Linked DNA regions of Rattus norvegicus. The main gene of each other region encodes a partner of the protein of the gene in region 2 in a complex. Links are inferred from orthologs where the notes say so. Each region holds a gene or a part of one and is shown on either strand. Other genes may lie near its edges. The genes, in order: Tent5c, Bccip and Tent5a.

Region 1 (7,992 bases), on a different chromosome or scaffold from region 2:
TATGTGCCAGCAGAGGCTGGAATTTGGCAAGGAGGTACCAAGAGTCTTGCATGGATAGTTTAAATTATCTGGTTCCATGTCCAGTGAGCAGGACCTGGCAACCTCCTGAGCCTCCTGCCAACTTCAAGGTGCCACAGTTGGTGAGGTAGAAAGAACACAGTGTATTTAAAAAAAAAAAAAAACAGAAGAAACAAAAATTCTAAAAAGTTTAGAAAAGCTGTGGGGATTAAAAAAAGAAATCTGAGGAGAAACATACACATGCAGGACTATAACAAGTTTCGTCTCTGGACTGGCCCTCCCCATCTCCCCATCGTAGAATTACCTAATTTGTTCAGGACGTTGAACAAAATGTCACCTAAGCAAAGGGCAGATCAAACTTTAGGTTTAGAAGTTTCTTGTGATAAGAGCACAGAAGGGACTAACAGGGAAGCCAGCTGGGAGGGGACCTGGTAGAGACCTGAGAAGGGACAGAACACAGCATATGGCAAACATATATGTCTGAAACGTCATGATAGAAACCACTAGATTGTATGCTGACTTTTGTAGTAGATGTTTTTACATCTACTAATATCAATAGCTACCTCTGATGACCATATCCATGTCAAAGGCCAAGGTAATAATTTGTTTAAATGTTATTGAGATTGGAGCTTTGCAGAAGGTCAGTTACTTCCTCAAGGCTTAAAACCCAGTTCTTAGAAGAGAGCATAGGCAACCATCTTTGTGGCTTTGGGCTAGGCAGAGATTCCTTAAACACTAAACATTAGAGATATGCTTGGTAAGTTGGGCTGATTGGAAATTAAGAAACTCTTTTTACTGATAATAACAGTAAACTATAAACCAGCTACAGGTTGAGAGAAGGTATTTGGAAGAGATATAAGAAAGGAGTTATATCCAGACTATGTGAAGAACTGAATACAGTTCAAATGGGCAAAAGACACACATAGATACATCCCCCCCATAGACCATCATAATGGATCATAAACATTTGAGAAGTTGCTCAGTAGTACTGGTCACCAGAGAAATGAACGTCTAATTATAATGAAATACACATCCCGGTTTTTCATTTACAAAGAAAACACTTGGGCCACGGAGATGGCTCAGAGGGTAAAGCTGCTTATGACCAAGCCTGAGGATGACCTAAACTCAGTCCCCAGCTCACACACGGTGGAGAGCTGGAACTCCCAACAAGTTGTTCAATGACTTCCACACGCCCACTGCGGCACGCACACCCCCCTCCAACAACAGTAAAATGTAACTAGAAAAACTTTAAACAGCATGATCCCAAAGTGGTAAATATGTGGGGTCATCGGGAATCTTTACAGCACTGGTTGGAACATTAAACAGATTTCCCATTCTGCTTTACAAATATATCTATTTGTTGTTTGTTTTATGGTTTACACTTGTTGTCCCCCCCCTTTAGTTATCTTTAATAACTCAGATAACTGGAAATACATTTAAAGTTTAACGTGTGGATACCCTGTGAACTAGAATTTCCAGTCTCCAGCATGTGCCTGACACAACTCAATGCTGTACAGAAGACACAGGGAAGAATGTGGACAGCAATTTCACTATGGACCGTTCAAAACCTGAAGCAAGTGAAACGCATATCAAACAGTCAGCAGACTGCATACATTATTGGTTATTTAATGAGTATGTAGTAGTGAAGAATGAAACATGGTTACATACAACACGGAGAAATCTCATTGACGGAAACATGCTCATGCTTTCTTTCCCCATGTGCAGTTCAGATGCAGGTACAATTGATATATGAAGACTGAGATCTTAATATTGGTAACCCTGTAATATGTTGAGTGACAGGAGCCATGGCCAAGCTGGAAATGTTCTGAGTGACAGCTCTGTGGGTACACACACCTATCATTTTGCACACAATAATAGACACTATGAGATCAGACAGGGCTCACATTAACAACAACAAACCTGGCCCTATAGCCTGAATTTGTGTTCAAGAACATGTAAGTTCTTATACTGATGTCTTATACTGTTATAGTTTTGAGAATTTCCTTCCCCTACCAGAGAAAGCACGTTCGTGAGAACTCTTCATAGTCTAGCAGACACTGCAGGGCACTCCTGCTCCACAGAGGTGCTAAGAGGGCAGAGGAGAGCACCGATTCAGGAAACCATCTAGCCCCCAGTACCCAGCAGAGGGTCAAACGAAGCTCAACAAGTGTTTATTAACACAGCTTTCTAATTTATTTAGTAGCTGGCATGAACTGCATACCAAGCAGTGCATGATTAATAACTATTTCCCTAATATCGACCTCACATTTCCATACTACAGATGGGAAATAGAGGTTTTTGGAGAATAGGTTAAGCCAGTTAGTAAAGCTGGGCGTGTCCCAGCAGTTGGGAGGTGCACACAGGAGGGCCAGTTAAAAGTCAACCAAGGCAACTTGGAAGCCTGTCTTGGGTTCAGGAGGCATTGTATAAAAAAAAAAACCTCAAAAAAACAAAGCAAACTATCCTCTTGCAAGGCCTTTCCAGATAGTTAAGAGGTGAAGAAGATTTCCACTCATCAGCCTTAATTCTAAAGCAGAGCCATCAACCACGTGCAAGGAAATTAAGGGTCGTGTGTGTTTGGGGGCGGGGATGGGGGCCCCCCTCTGCGAGCAGTAACAAGCAGCACAGACCAGCGCTATTCTCAGGAGGGCTGAGCTGCTGTGCTTAAGGCTTTGGTGATGGCTTCCCAGGTCTGCCAACTGCACACAGGTGTCCCCGCGGCCAGAGAATCAGCTGCTTCCTTTCCCCCAGGACCACGACCTCACCTCCAGCCAATTTGCTCGAGGAATCAGAAAGATTTCCAGGGCCCATTTAAGAGTTTTCCGACTTCACAAACACCGAGCGAGGCAAGCGTGGGCTTCCACTCCGGGATCCCGGAAACCAGAGAGCACTATGGTGAAGAGCGCCTAAAACTTTGAAAGAAGAGCACCCAGCAGGGAGCAAGTTGGGTAGAGGGGAGAAGAGTCCAGGCGAGGGAAGGCTGAAGGTAGAGAGGAGCGGAGAGGACAGAGGGAAACTGTCCCCTCATGCTCAAAGTTAGTTCAGCGCCCACAACCCGTGTCTCTCTCTCTCTCTCTCTCTCTCTCTCTCTCTCTCTCTCTCTCTCTCTCTCTCTCTCTCTCTCTCTCTCTCTCTCTCTCTCCTCTCTCTCTCTCTCTCTCTCTCTCTCTCTCCTCTCTCTCTCTCTCTCTCTCTCTCTCTCTCTCTCTCTCTCTCTCTCTCTCTCTCTCTCTCTCTCTCTCTCTCTCTCTCTCTCTCTATTGCGCCTGCGCAATGCTGCCTCTTGGTCACCCCGCCCCTTTGCGCCGCGGGAGGTTTACTTGTCTCTCGGCAACCATTGACCCGGGAAGCCAATCAGAGGGCAGCGTTCGTCCAGCCCCCCCCCCCCCCCCCCGTCAGCGCGGGGCGCAAGGATCCCTCGGGGCCTCGGCCGTCGCGCCCCGCCCTGGCTCCCCCGGGAGGCCGGCCGCGGGGCGGGGGCAGGGGCGGGGAGGCGCGGGGGAGTGGTCAGGCCGGTTAAGATCGGAGGGGGCGGCGGCCGGACCGCTCACTCGCCGCAGCTGTCTGGGGGCCTAAGTCTCCGCACGGCTCCTGCTGGGGGCTGCCCACGCCAACCACCTGCTTCAGTCACCTCTTCTTCCAACGCCCAGGTAAGTCCACGCTCCCATCCTCCACAGGTGGGAGGATGCTGCTGCGGTCCTCCGGTGGGGAGCCACGCACTCTGGCTCCGGGTGGGTCCCCGCAGAGCCTAGTGGGGTGCCCCGAAGATGGAGGCTAGATGCCGACAGGTGTCAGGACCCGTCCGGCTCCCGCGTCCCTGACGCAGGCTTACCTCTGTGAAGGAGCGCAAACTTTTCGGAGACTGCGCTCGGGCTTTGGGAAACTTGGGCGAGTTCCTGCTGGCCCGGCGGCAGTTGTGTAGGTGGCTCTTTCTCTGCTTCTGCTAGTCGGTACTCTAGCTCTGAGCTGCGCCCCTGTGGCGCGCTCACGGAGCCCGGAACCCCGGCGATTTTGAACCCCGCGGTTTTGGCGGCGTAGATGAAGACGCTGTGGTCGGGGGCTAAAGCCTGGCCGGAGAGGGGAGGGCAGTTCCCTGGGCTCAGTGCCCAGGATGGCGGCTGAGATCCTTCTCTATTTGGAACTGTGGGTACCGCGCGTGGCCAAATGATCGAAGCTGCGCGTCTCTCGGAAACTTCTCGAGAATACGGCGGCTGTGAGACCTGGTTCCTCCCCTTTGGGGATCGAAAGTCGCTTACTGCGTAGGCTGAAAGCCATGCAGTCAGTCAGTTGACTCTGATAGCGGTGCTGTTGGTGGCTTAGAGGCGCGGCTCCCGGATCGTCCCGAGCGTCTGCGAGGAGGGTGATAGCCCTTTTCCATAGAAAGAGTTAAGGAACCTGCAGTGCCAGCTGGTAGCCTTTACACCTAGCACTGGCGGACGGGCAGGCAGGCAGGCTACCTCAAAGTCCTGATGAGGAAATGCCTGGTTTTTCAAGAACGCAAAACTTCCACCGGCGTTGATTGTCATACCTAGATGCTCTGGGTCCCTTTCTCCCCTCTTCCCTTTAATGTGGAGAAACCCTTCAGAAAGTCCTGATCAATTCCTAAGTCTTAAGCCCCTCCCCTCTCAATTCGAGGATTAAAGTGCTTACAACGAAAGACTTAGTAGACTTACTGATTTATTAAGAATAGCTATATATATAATCCTTTGAATTATGACGAGTTTGGTATTCTGAAAGTAAAGTTAAAATGTTCAGATCTTCCTAAATTAGACCCCCAGCTGCCCCAGCTACCCTGGGAAGGAGGGTGACGGTGGCCATTGCTGGCTACAACAACTTCCACTGTAATTTGCTTGGCAAGGCAGCGAGGGAGCCAGAAAGCTAGCCAGGCAGCCAAGAGGGTGGTAGGAGAGCTTACCAAGAATTCTCCCGAGCGAGCGAGCTGGAAGTCACTAGAGGTGTGATTGTTTTTCCACATTTTACCCCGCAGTTGAAGGGTGTGGGGTGAAGAGTAAAGAAGGGCCACTTTTCTCTTCCTGCTGCAGCTGGACCAGCAGTGGCCCTGTCCTCTGCAGTCCTTGTTTGTGAGGATGGAGCGCTTAGTATCCCAATCAGAAACCTTCTCTCTGAAGAGATAGTTTGGTTTAGGAGTTCACACGATAGGAACTTTTAGAAGGATGAGTTCGATGTGTGGAATACTTGTCCCAGTATCTGCACAGGATGTCGATGACTGTCATTAAAATTGTGGGGGTTGTTCAGCGATCTCTAGACAGTTACCAAAAGAAAGGTCCCGAAGTTTTATGAGTGACTTTAGTGTGTGCACCTAGAACAAACAGTCACACTCTTTAGTCTGAGTTTCTCCCATAATACCTACCTTGTATCTAGAGATTAGGTTTGTGAACTCAGAAGGGAGGACTTGGCTCTTGGCCCTTGGCCCTGTTGGTCTGAGTGTGAGTGGAGTGCCAAGAGCTCACTCTTCAGCTTTTCCAGTTCTGCTGCACGCATAGCTCCCAAGCTTTCTGCAGAACTTTCAGCCTGGACGTCTCCCCCAGCCCCAGTGGGCTCCCAGTCAGGCACACGCTTAGCCTGCATGCTAAGTCCAAGGCCAGGCAGATTACACTTGCCTTGCACTGCCCATTGGAAAGTCCGGGAACCTCTCAACAATGAAGGCAATTTAAAAGTGGGCTGTTGTGCCCTGTTGTACTATTAGCTAGGCTCAGCTGTGACAAAATGGGAACGCCGCATTGAATGTTTCCTTCCTTCCTTTCCTCCCTCTCTGCCTCCTGCCCAGCTCCATCCACTAAGTAGTACCCTGCCTTCTCTCTTCTATGCTGTACTGTCTCAGAGTCAGCCATGGAAGAAGGGCAGCCTATGTTACTAAGAAAAACCATAGAAGCAGAGATGTGTTGAATTAAGATGATGTTTAGGGGTTTATCTTCCCTGTCCTCCTGAAAGCGAGCTCTCCCTCTCCCTCCCTCCCCCTCCCCCCTCTCAGTTAATAGGTGGTGAGGCAGAATGAGGTGTTTCTTGGACTAAGACTGGTCTGTTCCTTTTTCTCATCAATGAGGTAACGGGCAATATGGGGAGATGCCCTCTACCATCCCGCTGTTTTGACTGTAGCTGTTGAAATTGTATTATGACACCAGCCCCTCCATATTTAAAGGTGTGCTCGATGAGTTTAAAGCTACTTGAGGCAAGAGTAAAGCTGACCTCCTAATTTCTTGAACCCAAGGTTTCTCCCTCTTTGAAACCTTTTGATTGGATGCATTCATCGAAAGGAAGCTTAGAGTTCAAAAGGTTTATAGAAAACATCTTCACATAACTCTGTAAGGGAATCTTCTGGACTTTTTCACATTAATATTCTGTACAGCTGGCCCCTGGTAGCTTGTTCTTGAAGTGTTTGCAGAGCTTTTTGAAACAACAGGGACGAAGCTCTTAACAAGAAGAAGTAATTGCTGACACGAAGCAGCAGTTGTCCAGTGGTTGCAGAACATTTCCCACTGTGGGTCCTTAAATTGGGTGGTCCTTTTTTCTTGGATGATGGTGGTTGAGTCAGAAAGTGCTTCCTAGGTGGTGTTTGGTGCCAGGTGCCAGAGAGGCCAAAGGAATGGTATTCGAAAGGCCTGTGGAAGAACTTTAGAGGTGAGAGAGCTGGCCTGGCTTTATGATATACTTGAAGAACTTGTTTTTCTCTCAGTTGTCCTTGCACATGGACCCCAGAAAAGTGGGGTTTGTGGTCACTTCAGAGTCCTCACCCCTGCCTAAAAAGTGCATGCATGGCACATCTATCATGTGAATACACATTCTGCTGGGGGCTGCCTGCTGTTCCTTGCAGAGAAGGAAGCATGGTTGAAGTAGCTATCCTGCTGGACCAGGGGACCAGATGGGGCTTTTTGTGTTAGTAGCGCCAGATTTAAAAGGCTGGATGGTTTCCTGATCATCTTTTCAGTGAAGCCTCTGCAGCATAGGCTTGGAGCTAAGGAACAAGGTGCCTGCAAATTGATCGACAGCTGAAACTCCTAAAGCGGCCAGCTTCTAGCCCTACCGGAGCACCTCTACCCACCCCAGCCCCTGCTCTCCCAGCCCCTGCTCTCCCAGCCCCTGCTCTCCCAGCCCCTGCTCTCCCAGCCCCTGCCCTCTCAGCCCCTGCTCTCCCAGCCTCTGCCCTCCCAGCCTCTGCCCTCCCAGCCCCTGCCCTCCCAGCCCCTGCTCTCCCAGCCCCTGCCCTCCCAGCCCCTGCTCTCACAGCCTCTGATCTCCCAGCCCCTGCTCGCTCACTCAGCCTTTCTCTCTCCCGTGTTCACTCAGCTGCTAGCTCTGCTGACTCTTCTGTTTTGACTTTTTTGTTTCTCGACGTCCTCGCTGACCTGGTTTAGAGGGGACTGTGGACAGGAGCTAGATGAGAGCATCAGCAAGCCTCCCCATCTCTGGCCAATGCTCAGTCCTTTGTGCCTGGAGCACTAGAGTAAGCCCCCAGGAACTGCCCATCTCTGAGGACTCTCTGCCTTCTTCTAAGATTGTGATTTCCTGATGCTTTCCTTGATGCCCCATGGCCAGGTCTTCCTTAACTGTCCTTCTTTGCCGTGCAAAATACAGACTTAGATATTTGGAGAAAAAAACTGAACATAGTCCCTTCCCCTCTGACCTCTGTGCAGGCTCTGACTGACCTCTCATCTGAGAGGACTACCTTACCCCGCATCTGTCTGCTCCAGTATGTTATATGGGCTTTTTGTTTTGCACATTTTCTTGTTTTTATTTTAATTTAAAAATTTTAATATTGAACTGAAGGGGTTTGTTGTTGTCATTGTTTCGCCATCTCCCATTGTCTCCCCATCTGGCCCCTATCACGAAAACTGAAGAAAAATTCCCAGGGATCATGAGCCATCCCCTCCTCCCACCCAGTATTCCTTAGCTTCTACCCTTGGCCTTACAGGATGAGGCCAGGTACCTTCTATGTGACCTGGCTGTGTGTCTCTG
Region 2 (7,469 bases):
ATACACAGATTTATGCAGCTGGTACCACAATACTATTTCAGTAACCTGCCTCCTAGTGAAAGCAAGGACATCCTACAACAAGCCTCAGGCCACCTACCCACCACAGCTATGGACAAGGACCAGGATGTGTGTGACAAGTGCCCAGATGCTACTGAGCAGAGATGCACAGTCCAGTGACCTCTCCAACACAGAGTGCAATACAGACACCAAGGGGAGGCTGGTGGTGGGCTGCTGGAGCCAGGGCAGTCCTGGACATGAACACTTCAAGTATGATTTTAAAATAAAAAAATAGTTTTTATTAAGTTCTTAAAATTACTATTCCACGCTTTTCTTATTGGAAATTTTTAACCAATCATAATTTGACCAAAATAAAGAAAAAACCATTTTGTAAATGTGTCACAGACACGTGGAACAGAGCCCTACTTTTTGTAGAGGACTTGAATCTGAATAAAATAATGAGTTTTTCAGTATCTCTCCAATGGGTTTCTTGGTAATTATACATAAACAAGCCTGTCACTGTCCGGGGGACATGGACTAGATGGATAGATGGTCTTTCAGGGTTTCCATGATCTCACTCATCTTGTCATCTGGAATTAACATCACAGTTCGCAACGGCTTCATCGGAACATCATCGAAGGACCATCTGCCTCCCAGACAAGTGTCGCTCTCTCCCTGAACGGAGTAGCTGAACTTCAGGACTGCCTTCTGCAGCAGAGGAGGAGACACAGAGGGAAATGTAATCAACACAGAGGCAGAGCTCACTTACCCAAATAAAGAACACTGCATGTGTAGATAAAAGTGGAGGGGACACTCAGAACAGAGTACTCATGAAACACCAAACACATGTCAACTCACAGGAGGACCATAAACTAAAGGGTACCATTTCAAGGCTGGAACAAGCATCCAAGTGACAGAGGTGACATTGTTTCCAATTCCAAAGTTATTTTCATGGTCTCACTTGGTTGTTAAGGTAATATTGGGACAGATAGGTGGAACTGAGAACTGTCCTCAAATGCTGTTCATATGCCTGAACTTCCTTAGCTTGGGAACCCTGTATCCACACGGCATTTGCATAGCTAGGCCATGCTGAAATCCTACACAGACCTCCTTGACTTGTACAGAGTTCACTACTGAACTAGAAACTGACTCGTGAGCTCTCCGGATTCTCCTGTGTCTGTGCTGGGGTTACAGGCAAGTGCCACCATGTCCCAGTGTTTCATGTGGGTGTCAGTGATTCCATCCCAGACTGTCAAACTTGCATACCTTATTTTTGCTATTTACTTCTTGTGCAACAAAGGCAGAGCTGCCCTACTGTTGCAGTCAGTAGAGACAGCGCAAAGGGTGAATACCCTAGCTTTGCGCGTCTGACCACCATGCCGATCTATCCCTAGAATCCACCTACACAACTGGATGCAGGGATGCATTTGTAACCCCCACACTCCTGGGGCTGACGAGGCCTGTCAGCACAGTAGCTGCAATCAGAGATCCCACCTCTACAGGGCAGATGGTGCTCGTAAGCACGTCACAGCATACATCACAGCATGCGTGCACACTCGCACAGACAGGCAAATATATACATTCTTAAAAACTGTATCATCCAATTCAGAAAATGTCACCCCTGAGGTTTTTGAAGAGTGCAGTAGAGAAAGAATGTAAGAATACTGTCTAGGACTTGGCTGCCCACCATCACGATATGAGCCACCACTACAACAAGTGCTAGAGGGAGAAGCACTCAGACCTCAGGGCACAGAGCAGCTATGATCACCTCCCTCACATGTGCACAGGCGAAACTTAAAACTGAAACATGCAAATGTGGCTTGACCATCACACTGTTAGCATGCTCTGAGTGCCTAACCAGTCCCAGGCAGTACCCACCTCACCCCACCACCTACACACAGTGTAATAGGAAGCTGTTGTGTGTGCAAGATGTACCAGATAGTGTGTAAGCCAACAGCCAGAGACCACAAAAAGCTGGGTAGGCTAGAGGACTTTGGCTTAAGTCAAGAGGATAAGATTTTGGTTTTGTTTTTTTTAATTTCTTGAGACTGTTTCTCTGTATAACCCTGGCTGTCCTGCAACTTACTCTGTTGATCATGCTGGCTTCTAATTCAGAGATCCCCCTGCCTCTGTTCCCCATAGTGCTGCAATTACAGATGTGCACCATGGTCCAGCCTAAAGATGTCTTACTTTCAAGAAAAGCTACTAGAGCTAATGGAGATGAAGCAGGGCATCCTTACCTCATAGAAGAACTCTTCCTCTGCATTTGCAAACATCAGTGCTTCCTGTGGAAGGCCATCCCGCCTCTTTCTGGAAGTAGACTTTCCTGCCTCCACAAATGTCTTACTAATCAGCAGGTAGAAGCAGCACTTGCCACATGGCTTGTTGGTTCTTCGTGCCTCAGCCAGTTCTTTCCTACAAGACAGACAGACAGACACAGACACAGACACAGACACAGACACACACACACAGGTCACCACTGGGTTACATCTATCTGGACCCAGAAAACTGATGCAGCACCCTCTGGGCTAACTCACGCTACTGGCTGTACCCTAGGCTGCGATGAGACGGGCTTTTGCTGTAAACAGTGAATAATCTGAGTTCAGAAAGACACTTACCCACTAAGAAATAATCTCAGACTCACTCAGATTCACTGTTTTGTGCAAATTTAAAAATAAATAAGAACCTGCACTTTTTAAACAATCAATGTTTAACTGCAAATTAAGAGGCACACAGGCACGGCGCACAGCACTAGAGCATGTGACTACCCAGTTCTGACACTGCAGCAACTTCACAGACGTAGCTGGGAGAAGGGACACAGCGAGCATGCCTGTCTACACAAGGGACACAGCCAGCATGCCTGTCTACACAAGGGACACAGCTAGCATGACTGTCTACACTTCAACCCTGTGCATCAAAGCACAGGTGACACAATCCTTCCCTCACTCAATTCTCTAAACTTTGTAGTTCTATGTTTAAATGTTTTTGTAACTTCAAACTCCTGTATTCAACAACATAGGGAGGCCAAGAAGTAGGGGCAGTATTAAGGATTTGGTTTCACTAATCAAACCAGAATGTAAGAATTTGACTCTGGTTTTTTTAGTATTTGTTCAACATTTTGTTCAAATTACAGGCATGTGTGAATGTGCAAACTGTCAGTCAAATGTGAAAAGCTTGAAAATTCACCAGTTTCTCTACCACCTGAATGTTTGAAAATATTAAAATTCCTGCCACCAGTAATCAAAACTTCTCAAGGGGCCGGATGCTGGAAATGAGCAGCCCCTGCGCACTACTCCACCCCACCGTCCCCATCAGAGCTTGCTGCAGCCCAACCTACACTGCTGCAGACTCCACCTCCGATGCTACCTGAGTAAGGAATGAGCGTCTGAGGCACTGCCCAGAACTGCTTACTGAAGCTGCTGGTGCATAGGCAGAGCAATCTGTGGAGGAACGTTAATGAATCTTTCACTCAGCAGAAGGCCCACAGGCTTGCTGGTGTCATTCAAAAGCTTGTCCAGCTGTTCAACCATGCTCTGCTCACAGCTCTTCTCACAGGAGCTTAGAACCAACTCTTTAATTTGTTCAGCACATTGAGTCCCCTGGAAAGGAAAGAGAAGGCTTGCTCTCTGCCCCAAGAGCTGGGTTCCCTCCCGCTGCCTTTACATCCTAGCGCTTCTTCGGTATGACTGCTGAAGAATTCTCCGGCCATCACTACACCTAATCACCATCCCATGATTGGTGGTAAGTCGAGTTTCTAATTAACACACACTGGAACAGCACTTCTATTCCACCTCACAAAAACAGTTGGGAACTAACTGGAAAGTTCCTTTGAAAACTGAAGGTGGACTGCGGCCCGCATCTTATTCTCAGAGAATAGGCAGCTGACATAATTTTTTATTAGAACTCATTACTAAGTCAATAAAGAGATGAGAAAACGTAAGCCCATGTTAAGGTCCCACTCTCAACTTTGGAAGCTGCTGAATAAACCCTCTGTATGCACACTGTACTGGGAGCTAAGAGACTGGCTGCAGAATCTTGCAACAGAACCTGCGTCAGAACCACCATCCCAACACTAGGCACTACGATGTTACTGATCATGCCACCAGAGTAATCAGCTTTAAGCTGGTACAAATCACTCCGGTCAAGACCGCTCCACACTGAGAAGGACAGAGCAGGAAGGAGCGCTTGCCCTGACAGCATCATCTCTGACACAAAGACTGCATCCTGACCACAGATCCGAATACCACGCAGTGAAACTAACCTTTCTTTCACTTAAATTTAAAAGGCTGATGAAGCCAAAGATCTCATCTTCATCCACTTCACCATCACTGTCTTCTGAAACATCTGTTTGCTGTTTTAAGAGGAAAATACTTCAACTTTACATTATTCGGCTGGAAAGAAGTATAACACCAATTTTCCACTTTTCAAAATCAAATCTTGTTTTTCTGCGGTCGGGTACCAGAGCAGTGAGTCCCGAGTGCAGTGTGTCAACGTTCAGAACACTCTGCCTCCAGACATTCTGGATGACATCATCCTGCGCTGCACGGCTTCATACAAGATGCTTTGAGTTTCATTTTGTGAGCCAGGGCTTCACTGAGTAGTTCTGGCTGGCCTGGGGCTCCCTAGAGACAAGGCCTGTTAATCACATACAGCAACGGTCAGAACTACACAGGGAAACCCTGACTTGAAAACCAAAAGGAAAAAGAAGACTCATGTATATCTGGGTATGGTGACCCTGACCCTTGCTTTTAATCTTAAGCAGGTGGATCTCTATGAAGTCCAGGCCAGCCAGAGCTCCCCTGTCTCAAAAGAAGATTCTAAACATTTTTTTAAAACCAGAATTTCAATATATTATTAAATCTGGGTAAGGTTGATATTCATGAGCCAGCCCATTTCTTCTATCTCCAGGAGCCTCTAACACTTTATCACCTAAAATTCACATTCACACAATGCAATTCCTGACCATTACAGAAACAATTGGGTTTACATGGCAAACACATATACCACATGGGCAAAGGGAGACAGCAAGCAGCAAGGAATGACAATGGTGAACCAACTTGAACTCCCTAGCTCTGTTCTGCCTGCTCCTCCACTAGGAGACTAAACCCCTAGCCAGTTTACTAAAGCCCTTCCTTCACATGGTGCCTGTTTGCTTGTCCAGGCCATAAACTCCCTTCTCACGGCACTCTGCCCTCAGCCTGACACACAGAAAGTACTCAAGGAATCCATGTTGAATGAATGAGATGAGATGAAACTGATCCTTCCACCCCAGAGGACGATGGGGTCTACGATGGTCCGGTGCGCCCTCGAACCTAGGACAATGGGGTCTATAATGGTCTGGTGCGCCCTCGAACCTGTTACAGCTGCCTCAGCACCATGGGCTGTTAATGCTCCTCTACAGCTCTTGGCAAAATGTTTTTGTTTGCTTGTTTTTTTTGTTTGTTTTTTTTTTGTTTTTTTTGTTTTTTTGTTTTTTTGTTTTTTTTTTTTGAGACAGAGTATCTTAGTGTAGCCCTGGCTGTCCTGGAAATAGCTCCATAGACCAGGCTGGCTTCAAACTCAGAGATCTACCAGCCTCTGTCCCTAAGTGCTGGGATTAAAGGAATGGGCTACCACTGCCCAGTTGGCAAGGATGTCTTAGGTTCAACAAAACTAGGTGAGAATGAGAAGGTGGCTCAAGAACCAGCCCTGGTCTTCCACCATCTCTTTCTGAGTTGTCCTATCCTTCAGATGACCCAGCGACAGTGCCAGGAGCCATGCAGTAATGCCCCACTCCAAGCTTCCTTGGCTCACAGAACAAAGCAGGAACTGAAGGGAATCTGACCTCTGTCCAAATGGCAGGTCCACAAACCAAGCAGATGCCTGCTGCAATTCTAAGCTGTGGAACTTTTTATAATAGAACAACAGGAAACCAGAAGAATCCCAGGGGACAGGTGGCAGAGCAGTCTTGGGGCTGGGTCCTCGTTTCCTGTGACCCTACTGAACAAGTGCTTCCTTAAGTACCCCACTCCTTGTTTTTATGAACTCTTACCGCTTTCCCCTCCCGCTGCAGCCATTCCTAGCAGCTCTCTGCCATTTCTTTTGCTCAGAGAAGCATGGCTGGCATTACCAGGGTATCTGTCCTTTGCTCTCCCATGACAATTCCGATGACGTCTGATATCAGTGACTGACATTTGAGTGACTCCAGCTGCTGCTCAGCATCCCGCACTCCAGACGCCGAGTGCGCACCCATAATTCACTCATCAGCCCTACCTACCTACCTTCTATGTGTGCCAACCTCAGCGCTCTAGCAAACTTGTTAGTCAACCTTGACCTACCCCCCACATCCCTAAGGGACCCAGTACACTACACTGTGCCTTATTTCACCTCCCAAATACCTTCTAAGTCAGACACCTTCTCTCTACCAGGGCTGATGCCTGGATTCCTGCGGTAACCTCTGGGCAGTCCTCAATAATACTTCCTTTCAGCTGGAGATAAGGAGGACAAAGCACCCACAGAGCCCATCTCCCCTCTGACCTTAATCACACTCCCGATGTGGTTCTGCTGAATCAGGAGATTGGCCAGCTCTGCAGTGTTCACAGGGGCTTTTAGGAAAAGCTGAAAGGAGAAAAATATTTTAAATTAAGATCAAAGCCAATTTCTAATAACACTGTGATTCCATTATTCAAACAGAAACAATGAAATGTAGTGACCTGACCAAGGTAGCTGTAAAGTAAACCCAGGAGGAAAACAAACGTCCAGAGTCACATAAACTCCAGAAAAGACACAGCCAGTGGTATTAGCAAATAGGTATAGAAAGAAGACAAACACAGCCATATTATTTGACGTAAAGGCAAAGTACAGCAAGGCGGCCTTCACGGCACTGGTAGGAATGTGTGATGCTCTGCCTCTGAGCTGCTGATGCCGTGTGACGATGGCCTCGGGCCCCACTGCCTGCCTTCCCCACCTTCCCTACCGCAGGGGACAGCATCCCCTCTGAACTGGAAGCCCAACTCCTCCTCCCTTACAACATTTTTGTTTTTTACCCCACCAAGCTCAGATGTGAATTATGAGAAAGAGATGAGAATCTCAAGCAGTGTCCACACGGAAAGGAAAGCATTCCAGGACGCAGCAAAGGTCAGCATTGTAACCAGGAGCTGGGAGGAAAGCACGAGCAGCCATTCACCCTGGGAAAGGAGACAGAAGACATACATGGAAGTTCTGCAAAGACGGTACCTGTTGCAGTAACTTCTTAATTCCTCCATAATCATTATCTGAGATGGAATAAGCTTCAAATTCAATATTCACTTCCTGTAATAATACGAGAAGCAGGTCATCACAGACTTACAGACGACACAGGCAGTATTTTCATTTTGTACATTTTTCTTTTGCCCAGGTTTCCATCCTTTAGGTCTGTTCCTCTATTAGTTATCTGCAGAGCATGTCTCAGAGTTGGGGTTGAAACAAACATCAAATGTACTCTAATGTGGTGT
Region 3 (8,233 bases), on a different chromosome or scaffold from region 2:
TTCCTCTCTTTCTCTCCCTCTCCCTTCCCCCCCCCCTCTCTCTCTCTCTGTGTCTGTGTCACACGCATGGGTGTATATTCCAGGTGCCCATGGAAACTCTTGGATCCTTTGGAACTGGAGTTACAAATGGTTGTGAGCTTCCTGACATGGGTATTGTTAACTCACCTGGGGTGTGAAGGTGTCCTGTGCAAGAGGTCCCTCTAGACGCTGAGCCATTTCTCCAGCTCCTTGTGGTGGCTCTAACCTTATCATATTGCCATTGTTCTTTGGTTTTGTTTTGTTTTCATTCTAAAGGGGAAAAACACTAAATTACCAAATAAGCCCAGAAGCTAAAGCCTTCTACCCTTTCTCCAAAAGTCAAGTCCATGTGAGTCTAATACCAGAATAACTATGCTGCAAAGTGTCTTGGCCGTGAATGGGCTGGGAAATACAGAATTTCTTCCCTCGTACTTCCCTTGGCCATCAACAGAAAGCAAGTTAGTGCTTACAATTGCAAACTTTGCAGTTTCGTGTAAGGATGGCTGCAACTTTCCAGAATATAAATATTACCTCGCTTTGACGACAGAAGGGGGACAATGAAGAACATGTGCTTCCATTCAGCACTGAGTAACCAGTAGCCTTTCTAGGCAGCAGGCATATATTAATCCAATAATTCAATTGCCTTCTGTGGCACTGCCAAGAGTGCGTTGCCCCAGATGTCGCAGTGTGGGAGGCAGGCAGGAGGGTCTAGTCAAGCCTGGAAAGTGTGGAATGCTCTGTTATTAAGGAAGTGTTACCCACAAAGGACTGCCAGCTAGAGGAAATGGGGTGTTCCCCGACCCGGTGACTGGATCTCTTCTTTCCCTCAGCACGTGGTATGGTGTGGTATGGCATGGTAGGCACTCCACGATCCACCCGTCTCATCCAAGTCTCCTGTTCTTGGGAGAGGCCTTGGGAGCAGCTGTGGAGAGAAGGGTGCTGGTTCCTGAGGGAGGGAACAGGACAAAACTACTGGTGAAGTGGAAAAGTGGAAGCTCTGGTTGTGCCCTCTTGTCAGGATCCCCTCCCTGGCAGCTTTCTAACAAAGTTGAGCCCGTCAGCCTCATAGGATACATGGCAGGTGTGAGCAAAGAACTCACGGCTCACACACTACTCTAGTTTCAGCTTTATTTTTCTCCGTTCTTTTTGATGGAAGCTTAAAATACCATGCAAAGTAATGAGAGTGGGGCTGAACTATTGCTTTTTTTTTTTTTAAAAAAATGCAATGTATTTAATCTATGACTAGCCTCTTTGACATTATTTTTAAGAAAACTCAAAATTATCAAGAAGAAAATATTTCCTGATACTTTATCAAGAAACTATTTTTATATTCTCTCTCTCTCTCTCTCTCTCTCTCTCTCTCTCTCTCTCTCTCTGTATCCAGAGTAGTAGTCTCCTCTCTTATTTGCCCTCCTCCCTGCCCCCACCGGCCTTGCTGCAGTTGCTTGCCTCAGTTTCCCCTGAGAAGGAAGAACTAAGCCAGGGATATCTCATTCGGCAATGAAGCCTAAATAGCATTCACAGTCAGATGGCTGTGCAAGACCTGATCCCGTACGTATGAAAGTTATGAATTTGGGAGGCGATCATTACCTTGTAACCCCTTTATTCCCAATCCCCCATGGCACTGACGCCTTCTTCTTGACCTGAAGACTGTGAGGTGTGTGGGAAGAGCTAAAGGTGGAAGGTGGTGGCTCACAAACGTAATCACATCACTTCAGAGGATGTTGATTTTGAGGCCAATTGGAGCTACCCAGTAAGACTGTGCCATACACGCTCGTGTGTGATTGCCACACACACCCACACACACACACCCACACCCACACACACACACACATTTCGTATATACGAAATGTGTTGCTAGGCACTGCTCATGGTTGGACATGTCCTGAAAGGAAGTAGCGGGATTTGAGAACAATGTAGGGGTCCAGGGATCCTTAATCGCTCAATTCAATTTGGCCTAGGCCGGGCCTATGCTAAGAAAGCCTGGCCTCTAGTAGAGTGTCTTCATTTTGTGGACTCACAGCTCCACAGGGCACCAGCAGGGGGCGGCGTTGTCACGCAGCTAGATCCGCGTGGGCGACACCCTTGCATCCCATCCCTCAACTCAGAGCCACACAGGTTGGGCTTGTAGGCCAGGGCTCCCTAAATTCAAAGGCTGGTTCTCTGAAGTTGTCTAGGGTCATGGGGGTAATGGCTGTTCATTCCAGGACCTCTCTCTAACCTGACTGCCTCGGCCCACAGCCTCTACCTGGAGCAAGGACTGCAAAGCATTACTTTGTACAGAGGCAGCGGGCGGCGGAGGAAGTGGACAAGGGAAAGCCGGAGCTTTCTAGCAAACATTGTGGTGCCAGAGCGCGCAGATAACCTTTTCCAATCCTTAAGCGCTACACTGGCGACTGAAGCTGGAGGGGAGAAACTTCGCGTCTTTTAGATTTGCCCTTTATGGCTGGTAAGGAGCCAGACCCTACCTAGATCATTGAGGTTTTATTCACTCGAGAACTGAGAATCTTAGAGACTGCTAGGAATGCACTTCGTCCCTCGGGTCTGAGCCGAAGGACCGCCACCCTTGGGTCCGCTTTCCTGCACTGCTGGGTTGCGCTCCGAGACCCCGCCGGTTGGCCGCGAGCTCCTGTAGCTGTGTGATAGGTAACGCGCGCCTGCCCGGCTCGCGCGCAGCAGCTGGACGCGCACTCAGGCTGGTTGGCTGGCATCCGACTTCCCCAGCACTTCTGGAGGTTTCGAGAATCGAAACTCAGTTCTCAGTAAACCCTCCCCCTCCCGCACGGAGACTGACGTGCGTGATCAGTTGCCTCTGGAGACTACACTTGGCCCAGGGTCCTTAGTGGAATCGGCGGTCTAGCCACAAACGGACACTGTTGGGGGAACCTCCAGGAGACCCAGAGTTACTCGGCAAATGACGCGCTACACCCGGCCAGAAGGCTAGGCTTGGGAAGTTTCTATAGTTGCATGATTTTTTAACCCTGATCCAGTTTTGATGGACATCTATCACATTTGAGGCAAAGTGTCTCCTCTTCAGGGGTGTGTGTGCGCGTGTGCGTGTGTGCGGACGTGCAGAAATGGACAGATCTACACGTAGGAGCCACAGGCATCTGTCTGTGCACATTAGCCAGGGGCTGCGCACCTTGGCCTGGCTCCAGCAGCCCTGAGCTCGGGCGACTGTCCACCCAGCCCTGGGGGGCGGTGCTCTATGCAAATGAGAGGGTGTGGCGAGCACTGCGCGCAAGGGCCCCGGAAGCGCGGAGAAGCCCGGTATAAAAAAAGTACTGAAGACATTTCCCCCCGCACAACTGCTAAAGCTCCAGAGACGCGAGTGTGCGCGGTGGCATCGGCGGCGTCGAGAGCCGCCACCTCCGAGACCACCGCAGCGGGGGCGCGGGCGGGGCGCGGGCAAGGGGCGGGAACGCTCAGGGCGCGGCGGGGGTCGGCGCAGAGAAGTCTCGGGCCGCTGCCCCGAGCGCACTCGCAGTTCCTGCGAAGTGTGTCCGCCTCGCGGTTCCTCGCTCGCCTGCGCTCCTAGAAGGGGCGGCCGCCTCCAGGTGACACAGACGGGACTCTCGCTTGTGCTTTCCAGATGCATCAGAGATACTTTTGGTGCGGGGCTGCTCTGCGGGGCGCGGCGCGCGGCTGGGCACTGGGGTCGGTGGGGGGAGGAGGGCTCCTATGGGCAGCTCCTGGGACGTCATGATCGGGGAGGGGGAGCCCAGGCCCCTGGGCGGGACCCCGGTCCCCGCACCCGCACACCTTCCTGCCGCTCCCCTAAACCCACTCTTTCCTCTTAGGACTGACCAAGGCCAAGTGGCGTTCGGCGGGCACTACATGGCTGAGAGCGAAGGGTACTTTGCCATGGCAGAGGACGAGCTGACCGGCGGCCCCTACATCCCTCTGGGTGGTGACTTCGGCGGCGGTGGCAGCTTCGGCGACCGCTGCTCGGACTATTGCGAAAGCCCCACGGCGCACTGCAACGTGCTGAACTGGGAGCAAGTGCAGCGGTTGGACGGCATTTTGAGCGAGACCATCCCGATCCACGGTCGCGGCAACTTCCCCACGCTCGAGCTGCAGCCGAGCCTGATTGTGAAGGTGGTGCGGAGGCGCCTGGAGGAGAAGAGCATAGGTGTCCGCGACGTGCGCCTCAACGGCTCGGCCGCCAGTCACGTCCTGCACCAAGACAGCGGCCTGGGCTACAAGGATCTGGACCTCATCTTCTGCGCCGACCTGCGTGGGGAAGAAGAGTTTCAGACTGTGAAGGACGTCGTGCTGGATTGCCTGTTAGACTTCTTGCCCGAAGGGGTGAACAAGGAGAAGATCACGCCGCTCACTCTCAAGGTAAAGCCACCTGATGGGCTTGGGCACAGTGGCGGGCCGGGGGCGGGGAGAAAGCAAGCCGGATTTGCCCTCACTGCGGACCGTTTGGCCGTAGGGAGTACATTTATTTATTTTTTTATTCTTTTTTTCACGAGTGTACTAATGTGCGTGAGTGCTATGGAGTGTTTTAGTTTCCTGGGAGCTCCAGCACCACAACTCTGCTTCCTCCTCTGCGTTTCCTTCTCTTCCTTCTCTCTATGGTTTAACTCTTGACTTTCCTTCCTGGACTCGTGTCCAGAGTATAATGTGATTGGTGGAAGGATGGAATGATGTAAATAATTTTTTTGAGTCATCTTGTGATCTAGACTTTGGGAAAAATAGCAGCCCGAAGCAGAACTGAGTCAATGGTTTTTTATTGTATTGGAAAATATGAATAGATTCCTACTCTGGATTCAACTGACTCCAGCGTTTAAGATATTTGGTGCTTTTCCCTGTGAATTCACGAGTTGAGGGCATAGTAGTGTGCCCCTCCCCTTCGGTTTAGGTGGCATTTTGTATAATTAATTAAAGTTGTCTGAAGGCAATTTAGTTCCTCTTTGGCTGTGAGTGTAGTGTGTTACTGGAGAGACTGATAAGATTGATTGCCTAAGGGGGAGGAGAACTGCGTGGTTGGAGGCAAGGGTGTGAGAGGCGGACTCCACGACAGTGTCTGCCTTTCTGTGGATAGCGAGTGAATATTGTGCCTATTAGACCATCTTCAAAAAATAACATTTGAAGTCAGACATGACAACAGAACGTCTTAGTATGCTGCCGCGTCTGCCAAAAGCCTCAAACTATTACTTCTAGTCTCTTTCCCAGACGGCAAAACTACTCGTTAAATGTATTTTTTCCCCCTGTTTTCCGAAGTCTGTTTAAGCTTGTAGGTAGTGTTTTGCTGAAACTTAACAAAACAAACAGGAAGGGGCAAAATAATTCTCAGCAAAGAAGCATTTATTGTTCCTTTTCCAGCTTTGCTCATTTTTTTCTTGTTTTATCTTTTACATCCTAGGAAGCGTATGTGCAGAAAATGGTTAAAGTGTGCAATGATTCTGACCGGTGGAGCCTTATATCCCTGTCAAACAACAGCGGCAAAAATGTGGAGCTGAAGTTTGTGGATTCCCTCCGGAGGCAGTTTGAATTCAGTGTAGATTCTTTTCAAATCAAATTAGACTCTCTTCTCCTCTTTTACGAGTGTTCAGAGAACCCAATGACCGAGACATTTCACCCCACCATAATCGGCGAGAGTGTCTACGGTGATTTCCACGAAGCCTTCGATCACCTTTGCAACAAGATCATTGCCACCAGAAACCCCGAGGAAATAAGAGGAGGAGGCCTGCTTAAGTACTGCAACCTCTTAGTGCGGGGCTTCAGGCCTGCCTCTGAGGAGATCAAGACCCTTCAGAGGTACATGTGTTCCAGGTTCTTTATTGACTTCTCAGACATCGGAGAGCAGCAGAGAAAGCTGGAATCCTACTTGCAGAACCACTTCGTGGGCTTGGAAGACCGCAAGTATGACTATCTCATGACCCTCCACGGAGTGGTAAACGAGAGTACGGTGTGCCTGATGGGACATGAGAGAAGGCAGACTTTAAACCTTATCACCATGCTGGCAATCCGGGTGCTAGCTGACCAAAATGTCATTCCTAATGTGGCTAATGTCACTTGCTATTACCAGCCGGCCCCCTATGTCGCAGATGCTAACTTTAGCAATTACTACATCGCACAGGTTCAGCCAGTATTCACATGCCAGCAGCAGACGTATTCTACTTGGTTACCCTGCAATTAAGAATCATTTAAAAATGTCCCATGGGGAAGCCATTTCAAAGATAGTAAAATGAAAAAAAAAAGGAAGAAAAATTATGAAACAACACCAAAAAAGGGGAGTGACCCGGCCCTAATTAGGGATGTGTTTTGTGCACTGAGGACTTGCTCCCGATTTTAAAGTTGGCAATGCTTGGGGATCTTTCCATACATAAGGGAGCATGATCTCAACTCGTCACCCTCTCCACCTATGGTCTCTATCCAATCGGATTGTATCTTGAAACAAAAAGAGGCCTGTTAGGGAAAGCAGCCAGATTCTCCCAAAATAACAAGAGAATTAAAAAAAAAAACCGGCTTGATTTTGACAATATGGGTTTGCAGCAACTACTCCCATAGCTCTGCCATAGGGAAGGGGAATGGTGGGGAAACTTTTAAGATGGCGTTCACAATGGGAAAATGCTGAGGAAGAAAGCCTTGCCTATCACTTGAGGAGGTCAGAAAGTGACCAGGGAAAGCAGGGCTACTGGTAGGGATTACCATCTGTCTAGCAGCAAGTGCTCCCTTTGGAGTGATCCTGTTTTCCTCACAGAAACAGCTCAGTCCAAATGAACGGTAGGCAGGTTGATGCTGTCCTCATAACAAACAGCAGAACTTAAGGATGACACAACCCCTTGATTCCAGCTCCGTGCAAAGCTTGCGTTCTTTTTTTCTTTTCCTTTTCTTAAATGTGAAGACCCAAGCAAAAACCAGCTGTAGCCAAGAAAACATGCGCAAGGACCAAAGATTTAACTGATAAAAGTTCCCAAGCAGAAGAGGTAGGATAGGATATATAAAGAGTTACTATATTTGTTACACACCAGTACACATCAAAGTGCCTGTTGCTTTCAGAAGATTAGAAGTGGAAAAGGTTATTTTATGGTTTAATAATTATTTTATTTTATCAGGGACTCAAGAAAAAAAATAAAGCAACATATTAAGCTTGTGAATGGTGGCAGAAATGGCCTAATTTTTTTTTGACAAATACCTATATAAAGTTGATATTGTTTGGTGTGATGTTATAGGTACGTATATACTGTTTGTGTGTATACACACACACATATGTGATATGTATGTATATATACACACACACTACTTTGTCTATGACCTAAAATAATGTATCAAAGAGGAAAAATTTTAAAGATAGTGATTTTTATGTTTTTGGGTAGGATCTTAGAAGACATGGGCATACTGCAATGATGGCGTAAAACCCATATAAAAATGAGACAAATGGAGGGATGTGAGTAATATATTTGATAGGAAAAGCAGAGATTATACATTTTTAGCGAGTTTTTTTTCCTTATTTTCACTGAACCAGAGAACTTCACAAATGGGAGACTTCTTGGTAGCACACTTCTCAATTGCCTTGCCCTGGCATTTTGACAGTCTGAGTCCCTGCCCCTTAAATAAATAGAATCACATGCCTTCAAGGCTTAGAACGTATGGATCATGGATCAGAGATAGGATAATTAAATCCATAACTGCTCAAAAAAGAATTTCTGGAACCTAAACACTACTTTTAATATTTAAATGAATGCAAATGAGCGCATTCTGCATTTTGGACCACTAGAATTTAATAAATGTGAAATGACCCTTTTTAAAGAGTATTTGCACAACTACATAAAGTTTATATATAGGATATATATTATATATATATACATTTTATAAATTTATCCAATATGAAATATGTTTGATCTGGTTGTCACACTGCATAGAAATATTTAGTACTGTACCTTAAATTAAATCACTTTGTATTTGACCAAACCCAACTTTCGTTTTCTCTCCCAAGAGACCATTTGTATACCTTTGTGACATGAACTGATACTCTCATGTTCAGTGACAGCTCAACTTAACTCCTTTCCCAGCCCTGTAGACACTGGTCTCTGAAAAAAATACATTTCACAAGCAAAGCAAATGCATTAAAAACCTTCCTTTCTTGTTGTGAAACAATCACACAGGGTCTGGTCCCCTTGAACTTTCATGAATGACTGCTAAGTATGGTAATTCCTCTGCAGAGCCAGTCAGTTACAGAGAAGCTAGGGAGAACTTAACACTC

The links.
Region 1: the proteins of Bccip (region 2) and Tent5c are in contact, whole or in part, in a cryo-EM structure (PDB 8EQB), measured with the Homo sapiens proteins. The link is inferred for Rattus norvegicus from reciprocal best matches to the Homo sapiens genes BCCIP and TENT5C. Residues at the interface, in NP_510868.1 of Homo sapiens: Val57, Asn58, Ile59, Glu60, Phe61, Glu62, Ala63, Tyr64, Ser65, Arg136, Gln146, Cys153, Lys155, Ala204, Gly205; in NP_060179.2 of Homo sapiens: Asp90, Asp92, Glu102, Gln106, Arg109, Lys135, Glu136, Val139, Gln140, Lys141, Leu142, Val143, Lys144, Val145, Cys146, Thr147, Asn164.
Region 3: the proteins of Bccip (region 2) and Tent5a are in contact, whole or in part, in a crystal structure (PDB 8EXE), measured with the Homo sapiens proteins. The link is inferred for Rattus norvegicus from reciprocal best matches to the Homo sapiens genes BCCIP and TENT5A. Residues at the interface, in NP_510868.1 of Homo sapiens: Val57, Asn58, Ile59, Glu60, Phe61, Glu62, Ala63, Tyr64, Ser65, Leu66, Gln146, Val149, Leu150, Phe152, Cys153, Glu154, Lys155, Asn156, Cys157, Glu158, Lys159, Glu163, Lys167, Leu203, Ala204, Ala206, Thr225; in NP_060103.2 of Homo sapiens: Arg87, Gly88, Asp139, Glu151, Gln155, Lys158, Lys184, Glu185, Val188, Gln189, Lys190, Met191, Val192, Lys193, Val194, Cys195, Asn196, Asp199, Trp201, Asn213, Arg289, Lys295, Glu331, Arg334, Gln341, Asn342, His343.

The regions. Positions count from the first base shown.
Region 1 is NC_086020.1:190,559,346-190,567,337, reverse strand, and holds the start of Tent5c (terminal nucleotidyltransferase 5C), read left to right. Parts: upstream 1-3,435; 5' UTR 3,436-3,668; intron 3,669-3,850; exon of another isoform or gene 3,851-5,991; intron 5,992-7,992. UniProt on the Homo sapiens protein: Catalyzes the transfer of one adenosine molecule from an ATP to an mRNA poly(A) tail bearing a 3'-OH terminal group and enhances mRNA stability and gene expression.
Region 2 is NC_086019.1:197,947,750-197,955,218, reverse strand, and holds the end of Bccip (BRCA2 and CDKN1A-interacting protein), read right to left. Parts: intron 7,288-7,469; coding exon 7,213-7,287; intron 6,595-7,212; coding exon 6,514-6,594; intron 4,349-6,513; coding exon 4,259-4,348; intron 3,597-4,258; coding exon 3,409-3,596; intron 2,413-3,408; coding exon 2,238-2,412; intron 717-2,237; exon of another isoform or gene 706-716; coding exon 535-705; 3' UTR 271-534; downstream 1-270. Other genes in the region: putative pre-mRNA-splicing factor ATP-dependent RNA helicase DHX32, read left to right, coding at 9-177. UniProt on the Homo sapiens protein: During interphase, required for microtubule organizing and anchoring activities. During mitosis, required for the organization and stabilization of the spindle pole.
Region 3 is NC_086026.1:95,104,192-95,112,424, reverse strand, and holds Tent5a (terminal nucleotidyltransferase 5A), read left to right. Parts: upstream 1-3,324; 5' UTR 3,325-3,610; coding exon 3,611-3,630; intron 3,631-3,818; coding exon 3,819-4,362; intron 4,363-5,389; coding exon 5,390-6,166; 3' UTR 6,167-7,013; downstream 7,014-8,233.